Macaca fascicularis: one gene and its partners. The protein of the gene in region 1 binds, or shares a complex with, the protein of each later gene. Links are inferred from orthologs where the notes say so. Each region holds a gene or a part of one and is shown in the gene's direction. Other genes may lie near its edges.

Region 1 (3,651 bases):
CCTATAGGATAATGAAGTTGATTCTTATGGACAGCACCTACACTTGATATGATTAATGCAATTAAGTATAATGTAAGGCTCTTCATGACCTGACTTGATCTTTTCTCCCTGTATACATTCTTTCTGACTAGGTAAACATGCTGTTCCTAACTTGGTAAAGAATCTGCCAGGAGGACAGCAGAATTCCTCTTGGAATTTCTCTGAGGACACTGTAGTCTCTATTTTGAACACTATCAATGAGGTTATCGCCGAGAACTTGGAGGCTGCCAAAAAGCTTCGAGAGACACAGGGTATTGAGAAGCTGGTGTTGATCAACAAATCAGGGTGAGCTTACCACCTAAAATTACAATCAGAAGAATTTGAGTGAGTGGGGAGTTGTTTCCTTCTTTTGGTTACTAAGAAAAAGGAAGCTGGGCGCGGTGGCTCACGCCTGTAATCCCAGCACTTTGGGAGGCCAAGGTGGGCAGATCACGAGGTCAGGAGATCGGGACCATCCTGGCTAACATGATGAAACCCTGTCTCTACTAAAAATAGAAAAAATTAGCCAGGTGTGGTGGCAGGCGCTTGTAGTCCCAGCTACTCGGGAGGCTGAGGCAGGAGAATGGTGTGAACCTGGGAGGCGGAGCTTGCAGTGAGCCAAGACCGCGCCACTGCACTCCAGCCTGGGCGACAAAGCGACACTTCATCTCAAAAAAAAAAAAAGGAAATTTCCCCTTATTTACATGTAAAGTGTGAAGAGCTATTGCTCTATTACCTGTCTTGATGTTGATCCATAAATTAATAGGCTCTTATGTCAGACTTTTTTTGTGTCACTATTTGGGGTAGAATACAGGATTTGGTAAAAATTTGATTTAACCCATTTTGGCATTTATATTCTTGTTTGAGACAGAGTCTCGCTCTGTCACCCAGGCTGGAGTGCAGTGGTGCAATCTCAGCTCACTGCAACCTCCACCTCCCGGGTTCAAGCGATTCTCCTGGCTCAGCCTCCTGAGTAGCTGGGACTACAGGTGTGTGCCACCATGCCCAGCTACTTTTTTATATTTTTGTGGAGATGGGGTTTCACCATGTTATCCAGGATGGTCTCCATCTCCTGACCTCAGGTGATCCACCTGCCTTGGCCTCCCAAAGTGCTGGGATTACAGGCATAAGCCACCATGCCCTGCCCCTGGCATTTATATTCTTATGTTATTAGACGATATAGGGTCTAAGCTTTTTTCCTGGTCTTATATCCAAATTCCATATGGTGTTACTTTCCTCCAAAGGAACCGCTCAGAAAAAGAAGTTCGAGCAGCAGCACTTGTATTACAAACAATCTGGGGATATAAGGAACTGCGGAAGCCACTGGAGAAAGAAGGATGGAAGAAATCAGACTTTCAGGTATAGTAACTTTTGAGACCAAGACTTTTACTTTTTTTTTTTTTTTCTTGGTCCCAGGATAATGCTTCTGTTGTCTTTGGTTTCTGCTGTTTCACCATCATGTTAAATCTATTTTTTTTTTTCTTTTTGGAGACAGAGTCTTACTCAGTCGCCCAGGCTGGAGTGAAGTGGTGCAGTCTTGGCTCACTGCAACCTCCACCTCCCGGGTTCAAGTGATTCTTGTGCATCAGCCTCCCCAGTAGCTGGGACTACAGGCGCACACCACCATACCCAGATGATTTTTTGTATTTTTAGTAGAGATGAGGTTTCAGCATGTTGGCCAGGCTAATCTTGAACTCTGAGCTTAGGCAATCCGCCTGCCTCGGCCTCCCGAAGTGCTAGGATTACAGGCGTGAGCCATTGCACCTGGCCTCATGTTGAATCTATTTTTGACCCATATTTCTTCATTAGGAATTATCTGGCCAGGCGTGTTGGCTCAAACCTGTAATTTGAACACTTTGGGAGGCTGAGGCAGGTGGATTGCTTGAGCCTAGGAGTGTGAGACCAGGCTGGGCAACATGGTGAAACCCATCTCTACCAAAAATAGAAATAAAATAAGTAGCCAGTTGTGTCATTTGCCAGTAGTCCCAGCAACTCAGGAGGCTGAGGTGAGAGGATCGCTTGAGCCCAGGAGGTGGAGGTTGCAGTGAGCTGAAATCACACTGCTGCACTCCAGCCTGGGCAGCATAGCTAAACCCTGTCTCAAAAAAAAAAAAAAAAAAAAAAGAAAAAACATTTGGTTTACTCCTCAAAAGGATGATGTGTCTACAATTCATTTGTTGCTGACACAGCTCAGGCATCCCTCTACGTCATAACATACTTTAGGTGCAGGTGATAATGAAGGATGATGGCCTTTTTGCCCAAATCTACCATCGCCCTTTGAGAGAATTTTTACTATTCTCTGAAACTGTATTTTCTTCTGATAGTATCAACATTTGGATCCTTTGTAATCTCCTGTTCTGGAACACAAATAGAAGCCATAATATCCTAGTTTGTTTCACTATCTAGGTTATTTATTCAACTCTTATGAGTTGCTTTTTTGTAATTCTATTTGGGAATAGGAACCTAGAGGTTTATGCCCATTAGAGCATAAGATATGGGTGAATTCAGTATTCTGTGATATTATTGCGTTTGTGTTTGCCTCTAGGTGAATCTAAACAATGCTTCCCGAAGCCAGAGCAGTCATTCATACGATGATAGTACTCTCCCTCTCATTGACCGGAACCAAAAATCAGGTGCAGTATCCAGAAGGCACACCCTCTCCTTTTAGCCACTCTTGCTGTTCTAGGTGGCTTACTAACAAATAGGATATATATTATTTCTGAATTGGGTAGTCTTTTGGGGGAGGGGAATAATTCTCCACTCCAGGATCCTAATGCAGAAATGGGTAGGTCTAAGCATTAGAAATTAAAACAAAACAGGTAATTAGCCTGAGTGTGATTCCCTTATCATTGCTTGTGAACTTAAAACACTGGAAAGTGAACTCTAGTCTGTTTTCTCTATTTTTTCTCCTTTTAAATTTCCATTTAATACCGAATATTATAATAGATAATTACTATTTTAAAATTACAAAATATAAACAATCAGAAAAATAACAAAAAATCACTTGTTTCTATTATCCAGAGAAAACCACTTGTATCTTTTTAAACATTTTTACCATGTGAGCAAACACATTTTTCCTCTGAGATGAATTATATATTTTGTTTTGTAATTTTTTTCTTTTTCACATGAAGTGTATATTGTGACCATTATTATCTTAATCACACTTGCTTTTTTCCTTGATTATTGGTTCTTAAAGTGTGGTCTGAGAGTCCCAAGACTGTTACCATTTGTACTTATGGCACAGAAAGCAGTGATGCTTCCGGTGACTTAGCAGTGACATAAAGCTGAATGAGTCATTGTAGTCTTCATTGCCACTCACATAGGTAAAAGCAGAGAGCCATTTTCACTTAATTGGAGAAGAAAAAAAATCAGGCCAGGTGTGGTAGCTCATGCCTGTAATCCTAGCACTTTGGGAGGCTGAGGAGGACGGATCACCTGAGGTCATGAGTTTACGATCAGCCTGGCCAACATGGTGAAACCCCATCTCTACTAAAAATACAAAAATTAGCTGGGTGTGGTGGCAGACCCCTGTAATCCCAGCTACTCAGGAGGCTGAGGCAGGAGAACCACTTGAACCCAGGAGGCGGAGGTTGCAGTGAGCTGAGATCGCACCATTGCACTCCAGCCAGGGCA
Region 2 (3,651 bases), on another chromosome or scaffold:
TGGGTGATCTCTATTGGGATATCATGTCTGATACCGGTATCTCTTTACCTGGGTGTCTTGAGCTGAGCCAGACAGGGGCAATGTGATTTAGATTGGGGACTTCTAGTCACATAGTGTCAGTCGACTACCAGAGAGGTTGGAGACTGAGGCCACCCACCTGGGAGGCCCACCAGGTTGCCTGACCAAGCCCCAGGAGGACACTGGAGCCTGAGGCTCAGGTGAACGTCCCTGACTGCAGCATCCCATGTGTGCTGTCCCTCACTGATGCTGACCTGGCTTCTCAGGAGAGGATGATGAGAAGCTCTGACATTGGTGCTTTTCTGAACTCTGCCCTAGGTGCCTCTTTCCTTGTCTGATTTTCATCTGTATCTTTTCCTTGTAAAAAACGGCACCATCGCTGTAACAACTTTCAGTGTGTTCTGTGAGTCTTTCTAGAGAATTGTTGAACCTGAGGGTGGTCTTGGGAATCCATGAACTTGCAGTTGGTGTCAGAAGTGAGGGTGCCCTTGGGGACCCCTCCCTCTAACTCTGCAGTTGGCTTACGTTCATACAGAGCTTGGCCTGTGCAGGGCATTTAGTAAGCGTGCATTGAGCAGATGAGCAGATGAGTGAGTCAATGCATGCCATGTTCTTTTTCCCTTTGCAGGTCATTCAGTTGAACTTTTAACCTTGAGAAGCCTGCCACGTGGTAATTACTTGGTGCCACTCTTCATTGGAGACAAACAGGGACTTTCCCAGAAGCAAACTGTCCATGTAAGGATCTGCCCCTGTGCCAGTGGGTTCACGTGTGTGGAGCATGCAGATGCAGGAGTGGGGCTTCTTGTGGGGGCCCTGTCCCCTGTCTGTGCAGCATTCGTGGCTCTGGCAGGTCAGTGGTCTGTAGGGGTGTCCTGGGACTATGGCTCCTCTCCCCAGGCAATAGGCCAAGGGTATGGGGTTTGCTGGGGTAGGGGACAGCCGATGGCAGGATTGGTGGAATGGCTTTGAGAATGACTTCTGGGTGTACTCACACTCCTAGATGCAGATCAGAGGTTGCCATGTTGGCCAGGCAAGATCCCTGGCCAGCAAAAGCAGCCTGTACTCACAATGGACTCCATCGGTAAACATAGTCAAGGAGTGGTCCTTTGTAATAACCATGGAGACAGCAACGTACAGATGTCCAGGCTCCTGGACTTGGCAAGGCTAATGAGAAAGCAGCTTTTCCAAGAAACAATACAATATTACCGGCCAGATAGTATTATTGATTAATTCAACAAACAGTACGTAGCATCTAGTTATATCCCGGAACTGTGCTAAACTTTAGAGCTACACAGATGACCAAGATGCAGTTTGACCTTGCCAGTTCATGACTGAGTTATAAATGAACAGAACAAGATCCTCATGAAACCTCTGATATGGGTGAGCTTGTCTAATCTGTTTTTCCCCTTTGTCTTATCACAGTGGCTCTGCTTTTCCTGTTGCGACGCTATTTTGTGCTTGAACCTAAGAGGCATGGATGCTCTATATCCAATGATGAAGGCCACCAAACACTGGTCATGTATAATGAGGAGAGCAAAGCCACTTCAGCCCAGGTAGTGGAATATCATGCTTTGTGTCTTATGGCAAGGAATTCAATAATACACAGACATATAGCATGTGTTTTTTCACCCACTGTACCACCTCTTAATTCTTCATTCTTACCCATGTTTCAGTAGCAAGTGGGAAAAAATTCTTGGAAAAACTAACTCAGATAAATGAATTTATTGTTTTAGATGAATGGTTCTCAACCATGAGCAATTTTGCTCCACAGGGGATATTCGTCAATGCCTGGAGACAGTTTTGATGGTCACAGTTAGGAGTGCTACTGGTGTCTGGTGGGTTGAGGTCAGAGATGCTGCTAAATATCCTACAACACACAAGACAGTCTCTACCACAGAGAATTATCTGCCCCAGTCCCCTAAGTGCTAAGTTTGAGAAACTGTGCTTAGGGAAAAAGTGATTTTTATTAGGTAGACGTTCCCTAAATGGGATTGTGTTAGGCTCACTGGTTAAATGAGTCTGAGCTGGCTTCTTGGTCATGGCTTTCCGTAGATCATGGCAGAACCTGCTCTTCTACCATTGTCCGGCAGAGGCCAACCAGAAAGCTCACTGCCCTTGGAGGTATAAGGCCTGGGCTCTGTTTCTGCCTTCGCATCTCATTAGCTTCATCATTTAACCCTACATCCTCATCTGTGAACTGGGATGATAAAGTCAAATTCTCAGATAGGTTGTGGATCAAAGAGGATGTCTAACACATCCTCTCTGAAGGCACCTAACACATGAAGGCACCTAACACAAGGCAGAACCATATAAAGTAACTGGCCAATGGCCACTGGTTTTTCAAACCGGCTGCTTCTGAAATGGGCCCTACGTTATCTTAGTCACCCTTGCAGCAACTCTGGGCCGGGATTAGACAGACAAAGAGATGAAAGCATTGTGAGCTCTCCTGTTTGTCTTCATCTAGAATTAAGTGGTTGATTTAGAAAATGAACACAAATGTCAAAAGGAAACACACACAGAGGATTCGGTCACCCCATCTTACACCTCCACTGGTGGTTCTTTCCTGGAAGGGAGAGACTTGCTGAATGAAGTGAGACACTTTAGGGAAAAGATATTCCAATGAACTTTGATGTGATGCTCATGTAATTAGAGAGTTTCTCAAAAATATGTGATTGAAGAAGCTGGTGTTTGCCTGAGGCTCCCAGGGTTCTTTGCATTTTGTCTTCCCTGCGGTGTGAAGGAGGGAAGGGAGGTTAGGCTCCTCTGGCAGGTACGTGCCTGTGCACCCTCCTGTGAGCCCTTCCTGGGTAAGGAAACAGGAGCAAGGTCCAAACTCTCCAGATTGTGAAGTCCCCTGGAAGGAATCTCCCCATCCCAAATGTGAGAGCAGCAGCAAACTTGATTTGTTGTGTAATTTTAAGAAGAAAACCATCTGGGCAAACAGCAGTCTTTGTGTAACAGTAGAATTTCTTGCCTTGGACAGTTCCAGTGGCTCAGAGGCTCAACCATGAAGGGAAACAGAAATGGTTCCCAGGCCCAGGGGCTGTGCCTCAGTCTCCTCCTTGGCAGGAGAGCATGAAAGCTGCTGAGCTTGGAGGAGACTGGCAGGAATGTCGCACTTCCTGAGCATTGGTTCAGGTTGTAGCTGAGATGGAAGGGACAGTGGGGATGCCCTGGTTACCCTTCTTTCCCAGCAGCTTTGTGATTGTCTCTTGGAAAAGAGGAAGCAGCTGTAGAAGCAGTGTGGGTGGAAAGGAACCTTGGCCCTTGTGATGCTAAGACCAGGAGGGTTGGAGGGGGCTTAATGACATGGTGGCACTGGTCAAAGACCAGCTATGCCAGAGGGACAAGAGAACCTCATGCTGGGCAAGGGGCTCTGTTCTCTTCTTATACCAACAAATCTTCCTCTTGTTTCCCATTCACAACTAAAGGCGCATCTCCATTCCTGCTTCAGTATCTTAGGGCTCTGAGAAGTGGGATTCAACAGACCTGAGTGTAGATTCCAAATCTGTGATTGATCAGTTACGTAATCTAACTGATTCTGACTTTCATATACAAAGTGAACTTGATAGTCTTCTGTCTCCTAAGTTTGTTGGACACTTTAATCAAATAACACATGTCAAATTTTCAGTA
Region 3 (3,651 bases), on another chromosome or scaffold:
GCGTGATCTTGGCTCACTGCAGTCTCCACCTCCCGGGTTCAAGCGATTCTCCTGCCTCAGCCTCCTGAGTAGCTGGGATTACAGGCACCTGCCACCACACCCACCTAATTTCTGTATTTTCAGTAGAGATGGGGTTTTACCATGTTGGCCAGAATGGTCCCGATCTCCTGACCTTGTGATCTGTCCGTCTCAGCCTCCCAAAGTGCTGGGATTACAGGCATGAGCCACCATGTAATCAGAAATCACCTGGCCGGTGATTTTTTTTTTTCCTTTTTAAGCCTACTACATAGAGTTTACATGGCAAGCCCTCAGAATAGTTCATGTCACAGGGTAAATCCTCTACATAAAGTATGAAACATCGTTTTCATTTTCTTTGTGTGCAGCAGCCCTGCATACGCTGCTTGCTATAAAGATACCCAGGGCAGAGGGTACAAAGAAGAGGCTCTATCGCTACACATTGTAGACTGAAGTTCTGACATCTCTTATGGAGAATGCCAATTGGCATCGTTCCTGGAGGGCAATTAGGTACCATACTTCTACTTTAAACATATATACCTTTTAACTCAGCGATCTCATTGCTAGACATTTTCTCTAGGGGAGTGTCGCAAATGTTTGCCAAAATACCTGTAGAGGGATGTTTTCTTCAACCAGAATGTCTAAGGGAAGATTGAATAAGTGAATTATAGCCCCTCCATCTCTTCAGTAGGGTACTATGCAGCCATTAAAATGGATGAGGTAGATCTGTAGGGCCATACCTAGAAAGGTTTTCAAGTGAAAAAGATACAATAGTGTCCATAATATAATTCCTTTTATATTCATTTACATATAGTTGTCCATATTTTATATGGACTGGTGTGTGTGTGTGTATGATTTTTTTCTATTAGAAGCACACCTATAAATCATGTGTTGGACAGCTGTTCATGGGTACAGATTTGTGTATCTACTCATAGTGGACCTATGCTGTTTCCTTAGCTAAAATGATTTATGGTTTCAGTTAGTGTGGGCACAGCCTGTCCCCCTCCGTTAAACAGTGGACTCGCACCTCCCCGCATCAGGTTCAGTTGTGGAGAGGAGGCTGGGTGCTCTGTCCTGGGCGGCAGCCTCAGCGAGGCTGGGGCTTTCCTAGAGACAAGTGTTTCATGAGGGTAGAGAATATTACTTTGTTCAGCTTCCTGAAGTGGGGAATGTTACTCTAAAAAATGGCGTACCCTTTCCTGGTTTAGGTTCATCTAGAAGAAGGCCAGGATGAATTCAAGAAAGTCTAGATGGATTTAAAAAAAAAAAAAAAAATAGATGTATCTAGACAAAGGTTAAAAAATCCTTGGTAGAAGTTTGGGTCACTTTGTTTAATGAACGGGAAGGAATGCCATACTTCATTGATTCTGAAACAGGGATGAGTCTTAAAATCAATGATATGAGAAAATATTGGTTCTTAGTTTTGTTATCAACACACTTTCCATTTTATTCCTTTCTTTTCCTTAGCAATGCAAGTTTCATCTTAATGGTATCGTGTTAGATCCAGTAAAAGCAACAATTTTTAACCCAAGACCTTGTATGGTCGGCCTGCTCAGTACATTTTTTAGTTTGAATTATTAGAGTTTATATACTTCAGAAATGCTTGTGATGGGCTCCAAATCCGTTTATTCTTGTAATTGGTTTAAATGTCCCTCTTAAAATGTGTTTATGTTAGAAGTTTAATATGTTTACTCTTTCATTAGTTCATTGGTATAAACCCTGGCAAGTCTCATAATCTGTAATTAATAGAGATCAAAATATGGTCTTAACTATATTGCAGTAATCTAGTTTTCCCTTCTCTAATAAGAATTCTTACTATTTCCTGGCCTTCTCTGGAAAGGTATTTTTTGTTTGTTTTGGTTTTTGTTTTTGAGACGGAGTCTCACTCTGTTGCCCAGGCTGGAGTGCAGCGGCGTAATCTCGGCTTACTGCAACCTCTGCCTCCTGGGTTCAAGCCATCCTCCTGCCTCAGCCTCCAGATATGCACTTTAATGGCTGCATAGTTCCCATAATTCACTTATCCACTCTTCTCTTGGTTTGCTTCCACGTTGTTATTATAGATGAGTTTGAGCAAACTCTTTGTGGTGGGGTTCCTAAAAATGTATAGTGTCAGGCTTTTTCCTTTGAGGAAAAATAGTTGTGGTGTTTTGCCCAAATTCAGCTGTGTGACTGTTAGGAGCCACCCATCAGCTTCATAGGAGTCAGGGGTTTTCACCTCTAGGGACCCTTCAAATATCACAATAAGCCCATCTGTGTACCATGAAGAGGGTTATTAAATAGTTCATCTCATGCCTCAGGCTCCTCTAGAGGAGGCTTCAACCTGCTTTCCAGCACCTTCTCCTATCCCTGGGCTGTACTGGCTTCTTGGTAGATTGTCTGAATATCATCAGCATCTCCTGGAGGGAGAGGGAGAGCGGACAGTGGACTTTTGTTCTAATTTAGCCTTTCCTTTATTTGGGACACAGGGTCAGTGAAGCTAGAGGAAGAGAAGTTATTGATGCTTCTGTGATTTTCTGCCAGGCTTACAGAACAACTGTGTCTCAAAGATGGGCATGTCTCCTGTTTTTTGTTTTATTTTGTTTTATTTTTAAAGCCTGGAATGAAGATTGTTATTCTTGAGGGTGATAACAGGTTTAGTTTCTGTCTCTGTCACTAGTCACTGGTCTCTCCAATGAAATATATGTAAAGCTTTCAGCACTGTGGCTGGCACCAAGCAAACAATAAATGATAGATGCCAGCTTACAGTTGCCACCTTCTCATAGAAGGCCTCCTTCCTCATTCAGCTTTTTGCTTGTTCTCCAGAGAATCACATTTTGGAAGATGTGAACAAATGTGTCATTGCTCTCCAGGAGAAGGATGTGGATGGCCTGGACCGCACAGCTGGTGCAATTCGAGGCCGGGCAGCCCGGGTCATTCACGTAGTCACCTCAGAGATGGACAACTATGAGCCTGGAGTCTACACAGAGAAGGTTCTGGAAGCCACTAAGCTTCTCTCCAACACAGGTACGGGAACTCTAGCTTTTCAGTGCTCGCACACACTGCAACCTGAGTAGGGCAGGCCACCCGATTAGCCCAGCCCTGTGGTGAGGAAGGAGGAGTCGGGAACTCAGATTTGGTCTCATGGCACATTGGGCTCCTGAGAAGTTGGTCATAGCCAAATTCAGGCCTCACAAGCATATTTTCTTCATGTGTATCTCATGAGTAATCATGGGACTAATTCTAAACACACTATTTAAGATGAATTTCTGAGTTTAACCTCAGGTTAAACTATTAACCTGAGGTCCTATTCTTAAGCAAGGCTTCAAGTTAGTCTCACTTCCAAGTTCTCAACCATCCAATCCCTCAACCATCCAATCCCTCTGTTGCAGAGAAAAAGATGATTTGAGTTGTTGAGTTGTTGTAAAATACTGCATTTATTTCAACCATAAATACTCCTCACATAGATAGAAGCAGAGGCTCTTCATCATAAGCCTCACCTCTTTCTGTCTAGCTGAGTGATTCAGGGAGGGTCAGGGGAATGATGCTGCCTGCATACCAGGACATCTGCTGTGCCCCTTTCTCCACAGTCATGCCACGTTTTACTGAGCAAGTAGAGGCGGCCGTGGAAGCCCTCAGCTCGGACCCTGCCCAGCCAAT

Evidence for each region.
Region 2: CTNND1 (region 1) and CDH26 share a complex: the UniProt entries of both Homo sapiens proteins name them as parts of the cadherin:catenin adhesion complex. The link is inferred for Macaca fascicularis from reciprocal best matches to the Homo sapiens genes CTNND1 and CDH26.
Region 3: CTNND1 (region 1) and CTNNA1 share a complex: the UniProt entries of both Homo sapiens proteins name them as parts of the cadherin:catenin adhesion complex. The link is inferred for Macaca fascicularis from reciprocal best matches to the Homo sapiens genes CTNND1 and CTNNA1.

What each region holds. Positions count from the first base shown.
Region 1 is NC_088388.1:15,790,197-15,793,847, reverse strand, and holds part of CTNND1 (catenin delta-1), read left to right. Parts: intron 1-131; coding exon 132-324; intron 325-1,262; coding exon 1,263-1,377; intron 1,378-2,563; coding exon 2,564-2,651; intron 2,652-3,651. UniProt on the Homo sapiens protein: Key regulator of cell-cell adhesion that associates with and regulates the cell adhesion properties of both C-, E- and N-cadherins, being critical for their surface stability.
Region 2 is NC_088384.1:116,049,066-116,052,716, forward strand, and holds part of CDH26 (cadherin-like protein 26), read left to right. Parts: intron 1-646; coding exon 647-868; intron 869-1,440; coding exon 1,441-1,571; intron 1,572-3,651. UniProt on the Homo sapiens protein: Cadherins are calcium-dependent cell adhesion proteins. They preferentially interact with themselves in a homophilic manner in connecting cells; cadherins may thus contribute to the sorting of heterogeneous cell types.
Region 3 is NC_088380.1:145,421,939-145,425,589, forward strand, and holds part of CTNNA1 (catenin alpha-1), read left to right. Parts: intron 1-2,817; coding exon 2,818-3,018; intron 3,019-3,581; coding exon 3,582-3,651. UniProt on the Homo sapiens protein: Associates with the cytoplasmic domain of a variety of cadherins. The association of catenins to cadherins produces a complex which is linked to the actin filament network, and which seems to be of primary importance for cadherins cell-adhesion properties.